Schizosaccharomyces pombe: one gene and its partners. The gene in region 3 interacts genetically with the main gene of each other region. Each region holds a gene or a part of one and is shown on either strand. Other genes may lie near its edges.

Region 1 (3,980 bases), 2.2 Mb from region 3:
TTTTTCTAACGATGAGTAAGATTCCGCCCCATCCGTTTTGTAAAAATCTTAAACTTGTCTTTATTTCATGTAAGCAATCCTTGGAGCGGCCGATTTACAATCATTAGCACCTCAAGCGGTGGTGTTACATTTGGCAACATGAAAGGATTTGTTGAACGATCCTAAGCCTTCGCATCAGTAAAAGACTTTTTAGAATTTTATTTTTATTAACATTATTTTTCCTTGTCAAAATTTAAAGTTGAATTGAGAGACGCAAATCTGAACTGGCGCTTTGTTTGGCATTTTCTAATTTATCGTAGTTTAGAGTCTTGATAAAATCATCTTACTAAGCTTGTTACCGATGTTTTCTTCAATCCCGTCCAGAAATTTTATTCTTGGATAAAATATAATTTTTGAATTGCAATATTGCGCGAAAAGAAGGGATGAATTGCCGCAAGCGTGATAAAACATCATAAGCAATTTGTTGTTAAGGATTAACTCGTTCGGGTTCTGTTTATGCTAATGAAAGTGAAAATGCTTAGTAAGATTAAAAAATACTTCAACTTGCTAGTTTCCGTTTGAATATGGGGTTGCTCTTCTTAAACGTTGTGATTTCACAAATGTTATAATATACAAAGCACAATTTTTTGATGGCTCTTGACTAATTCAATTTATCAATCAACTGTCAAGCAAATACAGCTTTGTTTTCCCAAGGAAATGCCCATCAATCAATTTTTCTTTTGTATGACAAGACTTAATATAAAAAGGCATTTGTAAGGATTCATAGTTTTCTACTTATGATTGAAAGTATCTTGCAATCTACCAAAAATTGCTTTTCTTGCAAACTCTTTTTTGCTTTTCACGTTCGAAATGAAAAGCTTTAAATTGGACCAGTTTGTTTCGAGCCGATGACTTATAATTCGTCTAATTTAACTTCGTTTACAATTCTTGTATTTGTTATACACTAGCTGCCAATAATTTTTCTTCGAATTGAAAAGTCACCTCTATCCCGAATGCATACTTTACTTCAAAAGTCTAAACTCCCTTCTCATTTCGGATCGAAACGTACCAGCTTGAACTCAAGATTTTACAGAGCTCCTTCATTCACTCATTTTCTTTTTTTTTTTGGTAATTTGAAACACTGAATTAAGTTATTTACAGATCCGTATACCATTAAACCATTTCTCATAGTATTATTGATAAATTATTTTTCAACTCCTATAACAACTCACTATAATAAACAATATGCATTTGCTCCATGCACCAGCTAAACTTTACCTTTGTACGATACATTTCATTCTACAATGGTTAAACTTACATAGACGTTCATTGAATTTTAAATATTTTTTAACGTATTTTCTCAGATATTTATACCACCCTAAAAGAACTGCAAATAGACTCATAGAAATTCAACAGCAACTCATCAACTTTACCGTGAGAAGGAAAAAGATGGAAAAAAGTTAATTCTATTATAGCAAGCCCAGAATAAATGACGATATAAACTAATTTTTTTTGAGAATTTTGGCATTCTCTTCTTGGTATTTTTCAAAGTTTTCCTTAAAGAGATTGGCATCTAACGAGGTTTGGTTAGTACCACAGTTGAAATAGGGTTATTTGTTAATATCAACTGGATTGATAAAACATCGGTATTTCTACCAAAAAAAAACTTACTTTCTGAGTTTGCAAAACGAATAGCAAAAGTCTCTGCAGTAGGTTCTCCTTCACTAACATCCGCAGCAACGGTCCAAACCCAACTACGATCGCTTCCAACATTGGGAGTCAATTTCATCTCGGGCATCACTAAAAACAAGTTAGTATTCAGATACTACATTCTGAGAAACCAGAGAAAAGAAATAGTCAAGACACGAAAGGACAGTGAGCTTTAATGTATTAAGAAAAAGTATTTCAACAACACGTAGCATAATGTCTTTTCAACGTCTAGAAATGCAACCATTAATCTAATTGGACATACATAAGTGGTTAGCACAAACTTTCAAAGTCTTGTCGCGACGCATAACCAAACGAGTTTTTCCAGTCTCCTTATGTTTCAAGAGACGAGCATCACCAGTTCCACGTTCCTTCCATTCGCTTGCTGCCTTGTCAAATCTGAAAAGTTTAGCACGCATTTTGAATTCGACAGTCTCCTCTTCTTCATTAGTTTTTGTCTCGACTGCACTCAATTTGACAATAGGCTCAAAGTGAACCTCAGGGGAAGCTGGTTCAGCATCCTCATCTCCTTCAGCTGGCTTCTTCTCATCGTTCGTGGAGGCACCAGACTTGTTTTCTTGTTTGGCCACACCGTCACCAAAAACAGCTTTGGCTTCTTCTGTTTGCTTGCTAGCAACGTCTTCACTAGCAAAAGAAGATTTCTGCTCTTCTTTAGTAGTTCCTTGAGTCTTTTTTTCTTGTTCTGCGGACATTGTGGTATTGTGCTGATGGAAGGAAGAGTGTACCACGAAAAAATTATAATATACAGTAACTCGGTATTCGAACAAACATATTGGAAATGGGTGCTGTGTTAGTCGGGAATCTATAAAAAATCATTTGCTAATAAAATCTTTGCCTTAAAGCTACTAGTCTCTTGTATAACTTCTTTACTGATCAATAAGATGCTAAAAATTTTTTCATTTGTAGTCATTACACATTCTATAACTATTTGAAGTGTATACATTTTATACTTCGTTATGCATAGATTGTTCGGTGTTGTTCTATTTTATGATTGTCAAAAAATACTCATCATAAATAAAAGATGCTTACATTAAATCTTAACTATTAAAGTAAGATTATCACCTATTTTGAATAAAAAGACCAGTGTTTATCAATTAAATTTCAAACGTTTGTTCAACAGCTAGATAGCTTGGAAAATAAGTAAAACAATCCGAAAAGGTACGTGAAAGACAGATGATATAAAAAAAAGCAAAAAATTAATATTTGTAAGCCCTAGCTTTTAACTCTGGCATTAATTGCAGTTAAGTAAATCGTCCGTGCAGAAAAAAAAACAGCATATTAAGTGAGAATGCAATTACGATATCAAAACTCATTCATCTAAGAATCCATCACCTATTAAATTCACCCATTGGGTGACACAACCTCCAGAAGTAGATTCTATTTCTGATAACTCAGGAATGCATTCGCAATTGCAACCCAGACTTTGTCCACAATGATGAATGTCAGAATGCCGATATCCTAAATCACGAAAATAATGAACCTGTTCTTTCGACAAGAACAGTCCAGCAGCTAGAGAGTGAAATGGAGCGTCTCCCCATCTTTCAGTCCAAAAGCCTCCTGTCGCATCCATTGTACGGAAGAAGTTCTCATACTGTTCATTTCTGAAGAACTTGAAATTTGCAATCTCAAAATTGCTCCAAAAATGACACATATTATAGGACTCCCCTTCCATTGAAGATGTTTCTGCTGAATATGATGAGTCAATCATAGCATTTAAATGAGAGGAAAAGGAGAGACCTACTGTAGGGTCTTTTCTTGAAATATCGTAGTTTTCCTTTTTAGGAGCATCCAAAAAGAATTTCCACATGTTAGAGGTTAAATTATTATTTCGACGATAAGCCGAGGTATATCGAAACAAGTTTGGAACAGTGTCTTCTAATTCCTTTAATGCTACAACATAACCATATATTTTCCCATTTTCTTCCATGTAGTAGAAAGGGTCATAAGATATATCGCATGTGAAAGCTACGTCGGGTTCAACTCGCCAGTACCATTGATATTTGAGTAGCAACGGATGCTTATAAAAGAACCCCGAAAAAAAGCGACACATATGATGGTAACTTTCTGTATCACCATACATGATACCTCGATCTCCTTGACTTGCAATAGCTTCACGCGCTGCATCTACATCAACATTACCAGGAAATCCAAAAGTATCTTTTTCAAGCGTTCCAAATTCAACGTTCGCAGATGTAAGTTTAAGAATGGTTTCCTTAAATTTTTCATCAAAGGGCTCATCGTTTAAAAATGTATAAGGGTAATTAAAATGTCGA
Region 2 (6,141 bases), 460 kb from region 3:
ATTTACTTCAAATGCTTAGATGATAGGCATTAACAAAATTAAACAGACAGGCAGTCAGATTCATACTTTGGATATTATATGCATTACAGTTTTAAAAAAATTTAATAAACATTTTCGTTAGAAGAATATTATAAAACTTAAATTAACAACTAAACATTCACTTTCGAATACGATCTTTTAGAAAACCAGGCTTGCTACACAATAAGAATCTTCGTTAAGGTTCCTTATTCGCATACTGTCAAACCCCTGCTGAGATGTTCACCTCTTTGGATCGAAACCTTTACGTTGATAACCATATCACGTTGACGAAAATGGACTATCAAAATACGGAGACAATTGCCGAGCAGGAAAGGAATGCTAGTAGGCTACCGCAGATGTTTCAAATGTCTTCGCATCCTGTAGCTCTTTTCTTCTTTCTTTTATTTCGTACCGGTGCAATTGTGGCATACATATTGGGCATGTTCTTTACCTCAAGTTTGTAAGTTTTTAATAGCAGAAATTTAAAAGAAAAAGAAATTGAGCTAAACAAATAAAAATAGTATGTTGTTGTTTATTGTAATTTTCACTTTGCTAGCTGTTGATCTTTGGACTGTTAAAAACGTCTCTGGTCGTTTACTAGTTGGTTTGAGATGGAGAAATGAAACTGGAGTTGATGGTGAAAGCATTTGGATTTTCGAATCGGCAGATCCCAGTCGTCCCAGAAACGCCGTTGATCAGAAGACGTTTTGGTACGCTCTCTATCTATATCCATTTATTTGGATCATATTGGGGATTGTAGCTATAATTCGATTTGAATTTCTCTGGCTTGCACTCGTTGCTGTCGCAATTGGACTGACAAGTGTTAACACCGCTGCTTACAGTCGTTGTGACAAAGACGCGAAGCGTCGTTGGGCTACAGAACTTGCAGATTCCAATTCTTCTGGATTTGTTTCCAGATTTTTATCTAGGGCTTTTATCAAGAGATTTATTGGTTAAAGCTCTTTCAAATTCTGTAAATAATTTTTCGAACTACATTGCATTTTAAGCTCATTGTATATGAAAAAGCTAATTTCATGGGATTCTGGCTTAACGATTTGCTTGTTAATTAAATTGACGAAAGCGCTGGAACGATATTGTGTTTTTACTTCCCAACTTTGAAATGACAGAGCGTCAATTTGAATCCTTAAGCATCAACTGATTACGTATTTTTATAATACAAAAGCCAAAAGACTGTATGACGGATCCTGTATTTTAGTATGAGTTTATATAACCTCCCATACTGTTACTTTCAAGCATATATCTTCTTTTCTGATTGAATATTTGAATAGAGCCCAATGGTTATTTTTAGGTGCACATTACGTTCTTTTATTCATACATTCTTTTATGGTTAATACTATCACACAAAGTTTCATGAAGGCCAACTGAGATCTTTTGAAACCCACTACATTTATTTTTCCATTGATAACATTCTTAGTTAGACTTCAAATATTTACGCATGGAGTGCTTAATAAGATACCGATGAACGAAACTTCAAAGTTTGGTGCTACTTTTTATTTCGACAACTATGTTCCTGCGTGTGTTTGCTGTGAACTTAAAATTTAATACTTTCTTATTAGTGATGAACATATATTGAAACGAAGTTCTTATAACAGCATAATAAAAGCGGAAAGAATATGTAATTGTTAGTTTCTAATATACATATTTTAAATGGCAAAATATGTATTTAGATGATTCCTTTACTAAAGAGCATATCATTTTTTTAGTACATATATAAAGCATTAGCTTAAATGTCAATTATAAATTCAAGGATATGCGGTTTCTTACACGATTCGCAGAATTTCGGTTTTCATATGCTTTATGTCAACAAACCTCCCAACTATCAAATAAGGAGAACCTTTTATAACTCCTTAAAAATATTAAGGTATTGAATGTCCTAATGAACGCCCACATGTTCACTGTCTCTATTGGCAATATATAATGGAAGTCCCTGGTTTTCTATTTTGTTCAACACCACATTTTGCACCTTAAAAGATAGTTTAAGTGGAAAGGTGCACTTTATAACATTCTATAACGTCTTTTATTTTCTATTTACTTTTTTTTTTGCTTGCCTAAATAAATATTGAAATATTCAGTGGCCAGAAAACCCCGATGGAGAATGTTACATTTTCCTTACCATTAAATTTTTGATTCCTGTTTTTTTATTACCGCAGCAATCATATTTTACCATATTCCTCCTTTGTATATAATAAGTCTCCTACAAATATTTCCTTTGTCTTATTTGTTGTTTTTATTTTGAGTACTGCTTTATTTATTTAGATTCGACTTTATTGTGGTCGTTTTATTTCTTTTTTTTGGTTTTATTATTAGACCACTGAGGTACTAGTTTTTTGTATAGAATCTCCTGTTACAATTATCTGTTTTAAATGGATTCCAATACAAATGAGAATAATTCTCATGCATCATCAAACGAGAGACAATCATCTGAAGGGCATGATGACTATTTGAATCGTAATCCAAACAGTGAAGCAACTGAGGGTGAAGAAGGTACCCACCCTACCACGGGGACTCAACCAGTTGCTTTTTCAATTGGTACAATGTTTATCATAACTCCTCAAGCCAATTTCGAGGGTGGAGAAAATGATCCGTTTGCCAATCCCTTTCAACCACCCGTAAAACGCGCTGTAAAAGAAGCCTGGGATTCTTTCGAACCTTTGTCTAATGACCAACTGATGGATTTGACTTGTCCGATCTGTTACGATGATATGAATGAAAATGATGAAAAGCAGGCTACCAAGATGCCATGTGGCCACATATTCGGTAAAAATTGTTTACAAAAATGGCTTGAAAATCATTGTACATGTCCTCTTTGTAGAAAAGAGGTTCCCCACGAAACAGTAGGTTCAGCTCATCCTCCTATTTTATTTATCATTCCACACTCACATACGCTTCGTGGCAACCAAGGCAACACCGCGGTTTCTCAAGAAAATGCATCAAATGGTGTTCATTCCGACTTTCATCCATCTGAGGAGCTTAACAATGCAAACACTGATGGTCGAACCGGCGTAGACGAACCAGCTCGGCAACTGCATCGCATTGCTTTTAACCGAATACGTTTTATTCTAGCTCCAAATCGATCTGCCACCAATACCCCTGTTGAAAATACTCACCCTGAAAACCCTGACTCAAACACCTCAACACCTACTACTCGTAGTGAGCCCTTAGCAGGAGAAGGTGCCTCTATTGATGCCGAAAATGCTAGCTCTAGACAAGAGACTACTCCTTCGGATTCTCGTCCTTCGACGCTTACGTCCTTATTTAATGCTTTCTTTTCATCTATGCCTGATCGCCCTTCCTCTAATGAACCTATGACTTCGAATCTTACCTCTAATTCTGGTAGTATGACGAATAGTACTTCCACAGACTTGCCAACTAGTAACTTGCCCTCTCAAAATGCTCCAGCTAGACCAGTTGAGCCGTCACCTTCAATACAGCCTCCCAATTTGCTAAATCTTCCAACGGCTTCGCCTGAATCAACTTCATGGCTTCCTGGAAGCCAAACAAATATCCCTGCAAATACGAATCGATCTGAAAGGCCTTTTACACAGTTAATGACGTTCCATGGTCTTCCTTCATTAGCCGATTTACCAGCTGTTCTTGAGTCTATGTTCCGTCCTAGCGGTAATAATAACCTGCTTAATTTAAATGGAATTTTCCATCCCGATCACAATGCGCAGACTGAAAACGGTCAAACGTTGCCAGAGAATACTGACGACACCAACAGCAACGCTACGTCCGCAGTTCCCAATCTACAGAATTTAAATCAGCAAAATGCTGTAACTATGGGTACAAATACACCAAATAATGGTTCCTCCCCTGCTGTTCATCCAGTAATTCATATATACTTGTCGAGACCGCCTTTACAACCTGCAGTTAGCGAACAGGAAACTCCTTCTGAAGCGGTTTCAAGGGAAGGTACTAGAAGTACAGATGCTACGATGGAAGATTCAAGTAGACCTCCAAGCAATGGCTCTTTCCAAGGTCCTGGTATTACCCATCTCAGTGAAATGGGGCAGCGCATTTTGCAAAGGTTTCAGGAAGAAATGGAGAATCGAATGAATCAAACTAGAAGTGAATCGAGCACCCCTGCTCAGCAATCAGCTGCTGGAAGCAGCATTAATGTTGACACTGCCGGGCGACAACCTTCCGATGAGATAAATATTCCTGGCGAATACGAAAACTCGAGTGAAGTTGCAGGATCACGAAATCAAACTCCTACCCATTCTTCCATTGCTGTAGACACCTTGAGTAATGTTGCGGTAGACCAGCCTGCGATATCCACTCCGTCGGACGTTGTTGGTAGTGATGCCGGTGATACTAGCAAGGTTTCGTCGGGAACTAGCACTCCTCGAATGGCTGCTCCGATTGCTAGACGATCAAATCGGCATCATCCGTATAGCAGACCTAGCTCAACGCGTCCTCAGTGTCAGCTTGAGGATCAAGGCATTTGTGATCCTAATGATAGATTTGTGCACTTCGAATGCGGTCATTCAGTACATGAAAGATGCCAGCAATCTACTAGCAACTCCGAAAATCAAATGGACGAAGAAATTGGAGAATGCCCAAAATGTCGTAATGAAGAGCATAAGTAATGTTTGTGTTTTTTTACTCTTTTGTTATCTTTATCATGAAAAATATAGTTGTTTGTTTATTATGCCTTTTTAAATCTTCAATACAAATTTGGTGATGTCCCTTTAGAGTATCAATATTTCATGCTATATAGATTTTTATTGTTTTTGTATTATTTATATCTCAATACTTATCATCTATATTATTTGCTCTCCTATAAACTAAATGATTATTTGACTATTACAAAAAATCTCATTATTTTTTTCAACGTTCATTAATAGTTTTGTTTGGTACCAAGGAATTTATTATTATAAGATTAAATGACTCAATGAGTTAAAGAATTAAAATATGAAAGATAGCGGATGTTGTAAAGGTCTCCTAAATTCTAAAATGCCACCCAACATGGGATCGTCTACACCAATAAATAAACTGTCGCCAGAAGATGAGTAAGCGGTTCCGGCGATTTCTCCAAAAAAGTCAATAACTTGGGATGTATTAAATAATTTAGTATCAAAAAGTTGAACAAAATCGGCTTGTTCCGTGACAGCTAAGCTTTCACCTAATGGAGAAAAGCACAAATTCGTCACAGCACTCATTTGGCTACCTAGATTTCGAAACGACTTACCAAGGGCACGTATGTCCCAAACTTTAGCCGTTGTATCTTGTCCTCCAGTAGCCAAAATATTTCCATTTGGATGCCACGAACCAGTAAGTACAGAGTCGGAATGGGGAAGTTTGGCTGAAACGGAATTTGATCTAATATCTATTAACATGGCGTCTTTCGAATCCGTGCATACAAGCGCTAATGGAGTTTCATCAAAAAGTTGGACGCAGTTAACAGCATTTGAACACCTGTAAACAAGAATGGGGCTAGTACGCTGGACATCTTCCACATAAACAGCACCATCATTACAGCCAAGGATGAATTTTTTTTCGGAAAAAAGTTGAATATGATTAATCGAATCATCTGAAAGCTTACGAGTACTAAAACTTCCGTTTTTAAAATTGAAAATACAATATTGTCCATACAATGTTCCCAGACATCCTACGGCATTTGTAGTATCCAAACATGATATCGCTTTTTTCTGAAGGATATTATTCTTAAGGTCAATGATTTGAACAGAATTATCATGCAATGTGTTTTCCATTCTGATGCTGTTATTGCTCACATAAATGACAGAATGCTCACCAACCACCTTTACGCTTTTGCAAAGATGGTGATGATTCCGCAAGCAATTAGGATTTTTCAAAAATCTTTGAAATTCATAAAACGAGTCTTCAGCGGCGACTTGTACAGTATCTAGCGATAGCTCTTCGGGTGACCAGTCTGAATGATTGCAAGACAGGCTATAAGTGTGTAATCGATAAAGACGAAAGTTTTTCCGTTTACCAATTGCTTTATTTCCCCAGGGAATTCCTTGAAAATCCACTGTCCCACAATTATCGGTGCTTTTTGGGTTCAATTCAAAATTTGATGCAGTGGGGAATCCATAGTGGTCTAACTGAATTAAATTCCGGTTTCCTGTATACCAAGAA
Region 3 (6,451 bases):
TCAATCTAATGCCAGAGCATGTGATTCCTTTGGAGTATTATGAAAGGTTTCGTGAACCCATGACAATTCCCAATCTTACAGACAATGAGCGAGTGGAAATGTATCGTCGACGCATTGATGAATTACCGATTCCAAATCGCCAGCTTTTACTTTATTTACTGGACTTACTTTCCGTTTTTGCGATGAACTCGTCGAAGAACCTGATGACTGCTGATAATTTGGCTGCTATTTTCCAACCTGGAATTCTATCTCATCCTGATCACGAGGTTTACTCAAAAGATTATCAAATATCGCAAACGGCTCTTTTGTTCCTTATCAATCATCAAGGAAGCTTTATCAAAACCATTCCTTTGTCTTCACTACCTCCTCTGGTAGCTGCGCCTACTTCTCCAAATACTTCTTCTACTTTAATTACGCAATCTGCTGCACCTACTCCTATAGCCTCGACATCCATTAGGATTAATTCTTTTAATCCAAGAAATGGATCCATTAAGCGTTGGCGCTCTTTTAGTCGTCATTCTAGTGCCACTTATTCCAATAGTCCGAGTTCAAATTTTTCAAACATGAAAAGCTCCGAGGTGGATCCTGGTTCACCCCCAAGAATCAAATCTCGTTCGTATTCATTGTCTAGAAGCTCATCTATGAAGCTTTTCCATACACTTGATCGCCGGAGGGAAAATCGTATGTAATACTTTTAATTGTTTTTCTCTGTTTATCTAGTTTAATTGTCTTTGTCCTTGGTTGTATGGCGAAGAATCTTTTTGTACATATATACTTAGTTGTTACCGTCCGCTCTTTTAGTTTTATTGGGATTTGCATTTAGGCTGGATACCGCTACTGTCGTTTTATGTTTTTTTCTTTGTATTCAGCCATTTTCATTTTAGAAGTTCTACTTAACCATAGTAAGAACAAATTATCCAATTCGTTATTGTTTTTTGTAATTGTTTTTTGTTTTGGTAGATCAATATATTTATCTACATAGTAAATTTATCTGACAGCTTTCAGCTACTTTCGTAATTTTAAATTTTTATTAATTTGGTGTCCATATATCTGTACAAAGAAACTTTTATGAAAACAACAACGACATTGTAACCAGAAAGGATTTATCAATCTATACTTTATTAGGCTCCAAGGAGATCCTGTAACAATTGTAAGAGGCGCTTCTGATCTTCAGATAACTCTTCATCATTATTCACTGACAAAAACAATGGTATCTTCAGGTCTGCAAGGATTGCAAGCTGTTCTTTGTACATCCTGTTTGTCAATTGTACCACTTGTTCATCAAATTCTTGTAAAGCCCTATTGTCATCTAAAGTTTGAGCGGAATCATTGTTGGTCTGGTCATTAAGACAATTGGACGGTTGTTTCAATTTAGGGTCGGAGGAAAGCGGTTTCAGTATTTCTTGAAGCTTAGTTTTCGACTCAAAATGTTGAACTAGCCGCTGCCGTTCCAGAGACCAGTTGCGCTCTTGACGTTCCTGCATAGCCTTCATCTTTCTTAATTTTTGTAACTTTTCGGGATGGCGGGAATTTAGGGCAAAGATGTACCTCAAGGCAGCGGGATAGGTTTTAATTTTTTCTGCGTCCTCTATAGAATTGTTCAACTCAAAATCAGAGGGTTTCCGAGCCTTCGATAGAGGGATGGATGATTTGTCTACATTTTCAAGCTGATTACTCGTTACGTTGGAGGAGCTTTGAAGCTCTTGAAGCAAATCTGCGATTTTTTTATCCATTTGGAAAACTCATGAATTTTGTATGCATCAAACACATTGATATTCAAAATAATTTATCTAGCCCAAAAATAGTTAAAAGAAATTGAGAAATTAAGTACTAAGCAGTGGTGGAGCTGGGTTCGAGAACAGAATCCTTAGATTCAGATGTAGCGGTAGATGGTTCGCCGTTAGAGGTGACATCGGGCTTTGCATCAGTAACGGGAGAGTCATCCGTTTTGGAAGTTTCTTCGGTTTTTAATTTTTTTTCATTTTCGGGTTCGCTTTTTATGCCATTTGCAACTGGCTCTTCGGAAGCGTTGGGAATACCAGCAATGATGGAAAATTGACCACCTGCACCCGCTACACGGATCGCCACTTCCTTGATTGCCTTGGAACGAACTAATGTAGGAACAGCTACATCTTCATCATTATCACCTTGACCAACCTCGTAGTTTTCAGCAGATCCCCATGAATAAACCTTACCATCTGAGGTAACAGCCAAGTTGTGATGGGTACCACACACGACCTGTATAACATTAGTAAGTCCTGGGATTATAGTAGGGGTTGACAAGTAGTAATTGTTTCCCTTTTCATCTTTAACTACTGTTTCTGGAAGTGCATTATCCGGAATTCCTAATTGATGACGATCATCTCGACCCCAGGCTAACACTCTCCCATCTTCAAGTAAGGCTAGGGTATGATGTTCACCACCTGTAATAGACTTAACATTATATCCTTCTAAAGCATCAACGAGTGTAGGCTTTGTAATAACGGCGCCTTCTTCTTCATCTTCTACCTCTATTCCACATTGTCTGGTTATATTTAAGCCCCAAGCATAAACGCGTCCTTTGTTGTCAATCGCAAAAGAATGATACGATCCTGCTCCAACTGAAATAATATTTTTTAAAGCTAACGGTTGAGGAGTCAAGCCTTGAAGTCGACGACGTTCTAACATACGTCTACCCAGTTGAAACTGTTGACCATTACCCCATGTATATACTTTTCCTGTGGTAGTCAAGGCAATAATATGGTCCGTCCCTGTAGCTAATTGACAAATTTCGGGAAGTCGCATCTGCGTCGGTTCAGCTGTACGTTTTTGAGAATCGCTATACCCTAATACACCATCGGAACACTAGTATGTTAGCAAACGAAAAATGATAAATTTATAAAGCCATTTGTTCCAAAAGGGCGAAGGGAAATGATACAATGAGTCAATAGACTATAAACAACACTGCAACGATAACAGCACCTGAATTTGGAATCAAAGATCAAATGATAATTTTTCACGGCCAAAACAAATTACTTACACGGAAAGTACCCCAAGTAAAGCAGCAGCCATTGTCCGTTATTGCTGCAGTGAGATTGTCGCTACATATAACTTTTGTAACGCGTAGATGAGATAAAGCACCTTCGACCTTAGAAGGAGTTCCCTCTAGTAAATCATTGTCAACTTTGTCTCCATTCTCATCCTTTTGATCCTTAGTAAGACGACCAAGGGCATAGTCATCATTAACTCCCCAGGTGTATACGCGACCGTCATGAGAAAGGGCTGCAGAATGCATGCCGCCAACAGCCAAATCGACTACTCCTACTTTATCTGTAGATAAAATAGGATTCAAACGAGGACGATAAACGACATCCATTTCTTCTTCGCCCATACCTAGCTCGTTCATGGAACCGCTTCCAAAGACGTAAACGTTCAATCGTTCCGTAGGTAGTTCAGGTATCTTATTAATTCGCTTTGCGCTTCCTGGGACACGAACGGGTTTGGGTAGAGAGCTGACCTTTGCACGTTTAACCGGCTTTTTGCCATTTTTCATCACATCTGATTCATCTAATTCTCTTTTTTCAACCCCATTTTTTGAGACCTCCTCTCTTTTAGTTGAGCTTCTAGTACTTCTATTAGAAGTCATTATGAGTTTTAGCTGGAAGGGTTAGCTTTGCTACTAACAATCGATTTGTAATTTAAAAAAGAACAAGATGTCATCGCGTATTCCATGCAACCATCACCAGACGCAAATCCAAGAATTACATTTACTTTTTGGTACCACTTACTATAGCTTGGGTTTAAAATATTACAAAAGACAAAAAACAACGATTTATGTCGTTTTTGTTTTCGCAGAGACGTTGTTTTCAAAACTCGAACAAGTCGTTCTGTATACGGATTCTCACTATTCAGTATACTGCGAATCGTTGTTATGTGCAGCTTGTAATTAAGCATTCGTTAATTACAACATAAGCTTCGTTTAGCAAAATAAGTTATTGACTTCAGTAAAAGTTCCCAGCTTGTATTTGTTCAAATGTGTGTAAGGTGAGCTACGAATTTTTATGAAATCCTTTCTTTTTTTTTAACTTCATTTGATTTATATAAATTCGTTTAATCACGTCGAATGTTGAAAATTTGAGACCTCTTCTTATCTGAGAAAGCGGTTTCATGTATAGCTAAACAAAGATCAAATTTAAAAAAAAAGCTCATTAGTCATAAGAAGTTACAGTAAGACTCGGAGTGTCCATCGTTCAGCAAGATCGTATGCGAGAATACGAACTCAAGCAACGCGATTTTAATCTCTTCATAAATTATTTTTATGAGGACCATATACTTTTTTCCCTCATGATTTAATATTTAGTTACAATGAACATAGTCGTTAGCAGTTTCTGTTTTCTTTATTCTTTTCTGGATTTATATGTCTGTGAATTTGCCATGTCATAAATTTGGGTAACGATGTTACTCAACTTGATTCTACAAGTTTGCCTGTGAACTTGAGTATACTGTAAAATTAATTTCTCTTCTTAATCAGCTCAAATTATTAAAAGTTGTAGTTGAAATTTTCAAAATACGGCAAGTTGTCTTGTGGGGGGCGGTTTTATCTATCGGTAATGGCTCAAAGGTTAACCCTATAGAAGGGACTTGTGGTGTTTGGTGACTGGCTCAGTACCTTGCCAACAGCAGAATTGGCATCCCTTGCTCATCTTGATCAAAACTGTGTAAATACAGCCTTTTCAAAGAGTAAGTTATTATAATAAATTTACAACTAACGTAGATAGGGCTTCGGATGCTGTCCCATTGAATTGCGAGAGTGTAAACAATAACCTCGCGACTTCAGCCAGTATTGAACAAAAAACCTCTCTAGGATGTCTGTTGCATCCTTTCTCACGGGCGAAAAGCTTCTAGCAGGATCCAAGTTTGTAATTGGAAAATACAATGTTACTATCGAAAAGTACATAGCCGAAGGTATAATTTTTGGGTTGGATGGATCGAGGAGTATTACAATGAAAGATTTATTTTACTAACATTTTTCATTAGGCGGCTTTTCTCATGTATATCTTGTTCAAACAAATTCCAAAACTGATGGATCACCGATAACTGCTGTTTTGAAACGCATGTATTCTCCAGACGAGAATGCCCTGCGTTTCGTGAAAACTGAAATCGAAACGATGGTATGTTAACGTTATTGATTTTTTTGTCTAACTTATTAGGAACTACTCAAATCCAATCCCCACGTGGTTTCGTATATCGACTCCTGCATATTTCCTCTCGAGAAAGCGGGTGTCAACACTGGATTTGAAATCCTGCTTTTGATGGAATACTGCGCTGGGGGTGGATTGATAGATTTTATGAATCAAAGGTTACAAACTCGGTTGTCAGAGCATGAAGTCTTAAAAATTATTTCAGATATTGTACAGGGTGTTGCTTCCTTACACTATCTGAGACCTCCTCTCATTCATCGCGATCTGAAAGTAGAAAATGTTTTGCTAAGCTTTAATACTTTTAAATTGTGCGATTTTGGAAGTGTGACTGAGCCAATGCATGCTGCTGAAAACTCTAGCGAAATTCAAGCATTAGAAAAAAGTATCAACACATTTACTACCTACCAATATCGTGCCCCTGAGATGATTAATTTGTATTCAGGCTTAGGAATTGATGAGAAAAGTGACATGTGGGCTTTAGGAGTCTTGTTATACAAACTCTGTTACTATACAACTCCTTTTGAAACACAAGGTCCTAACGCTATATTAACAGCTTCATATTCCTTCCCCCCATTTCCTCCTTATTCACATTCTCTTAAAAATGTCATCATCGCTTTACTTCAGCCGAATCCTTGTCTTCGTCCAAATATTTTTCAGTTGATGTGTGAGATATGTCGTCTTAGAGGGACGGCTTTACCTTTTAGGGATATATACAGTGGAAGAGAGTCGTCTTTTTATGATTTGCATAACCGGAAAATAATGTCTTTGCTTCGACAAACAACAACAACACCGTTTGCTGGAAACCAAGTCATGCCGACTCCACAGGTTCAGGGCTCAAGACCTCCCCCTCCTCCTCCTATGCCAGCTCCTATCTATAACGTACCAAATGTGCCGACTGTACCAACCGTTTCCCCTAATCCATTTTTGCAACCTACTTTCTCTGGCACTTCTCAAGCTAGTGCACATCCTTCTATCCACAGCCAATCCGCAACATTTAACAACACTCAAGATGTGAACAGACAGAGTGTTTCGTCTCCGAAGGTTGTTTCATCAAGTTCTGTAACTGGCTCAGGAGCTAGTGGTCGCAAAGTCTACACACCTCAAAGTAAGAATCCCTTCCCAATATCTCAGGGAGTCACGGGAACATCTTCAAAATTTTCTGCTAGCGAGGTTACAGAAGATAATGGTTCACCAAACGCCGGACTCGATGCCGATAACGTTGACGTTGAGGAAGTTGTTAACCAGCGTTATCCTGATCTAAATGAGTTGGA

What was found. A genetic interaction does not mean that the proteins touch.
Region 1: of pim1 (region 3) and sbp1, extra expression of one is lethal in a mutant of the other (dosage lethality), as found in Schizosaccharomyces pombe (one study listed by BioGRID).
Region 2: of pim1 (region 3) and san1, a mutation in one rescues a mutant of the other (synthetic rescue), as found in Schizosaccharomyces pombe (one study listed by BioGRID).

Annotation. Positions count from the first base shown.
Region 1 is NC_003423.3:294,755-298,734, forward strand, and holds sbp1 (Ran GTPase-binding protein Sbp1), read right to left. Parts: upstream 2,417-3,980; 5' UTR 2,400-2,416; coding exon 1,952-2,399; intron 1,780-1,951; coding exon 1,651-1,779; intron 1,553-1,650; coding exon 1,482-1,552; 3' UTR 1,293-1,481; downstream 1-1,292. Other genes in the region: alpha-1,2-mannosyltransferase Omh4, read right to left, coding at 3,017-3,980. UniProt on the Schizosaccharomyces pombe protein: Stimulates the GTPase activity in the presence of RNA1. May potentiate the action of RanGAP1 (RNA1), thus playing the role of a negative regulator.
Region 2 is NC_003423.3:2,951,303-2,957,443, reverse strand, and holds san1 (RING finger protein), read left to right. Parts: upstream 1-1,985; 5' UTR 1,986-2,402; coding exon 2,403-4,628; 3' UTR 4,629-4,849; downstream 4,850-6,141. Other genes in the region: putative transport protein Tvp23, read left to right, coding at 312-478, 540-975; SPOM_SPBC2A9.03 (WD repeat-containing protein), read right to left, coding at 4,947-6,141.
Region 3 is NC_003423.3:2,487,204-2,493,654, forward strand, and holds pim1 (RCC1 family Ran GEF), read right to left. Parts: upstream 3,833-6,451; 5' UTR 3,768-3,832; exon of another isoform or gene 3,638-3,767; 5' UTR 3,626-3,637; coding exon 3,020-3,625; exon of another isoform or gene 2,845-3,019; coding exon 1,831-2,844; 3' UTR 1,816-1,830; downstream 1-1,815. Other genes in the region: Rho-type GTPase-activating protein Rga5, read left to right, coding at 1-689; SPOM_SPBC557.02C (uncharacterized protein), read right to left, coding at 1,122-1,733; Ark1/Prk1 family protein kinase Ppk29, read left to right, coding at 4,845-4,944, 5,017-5,150, 5,190-6,451.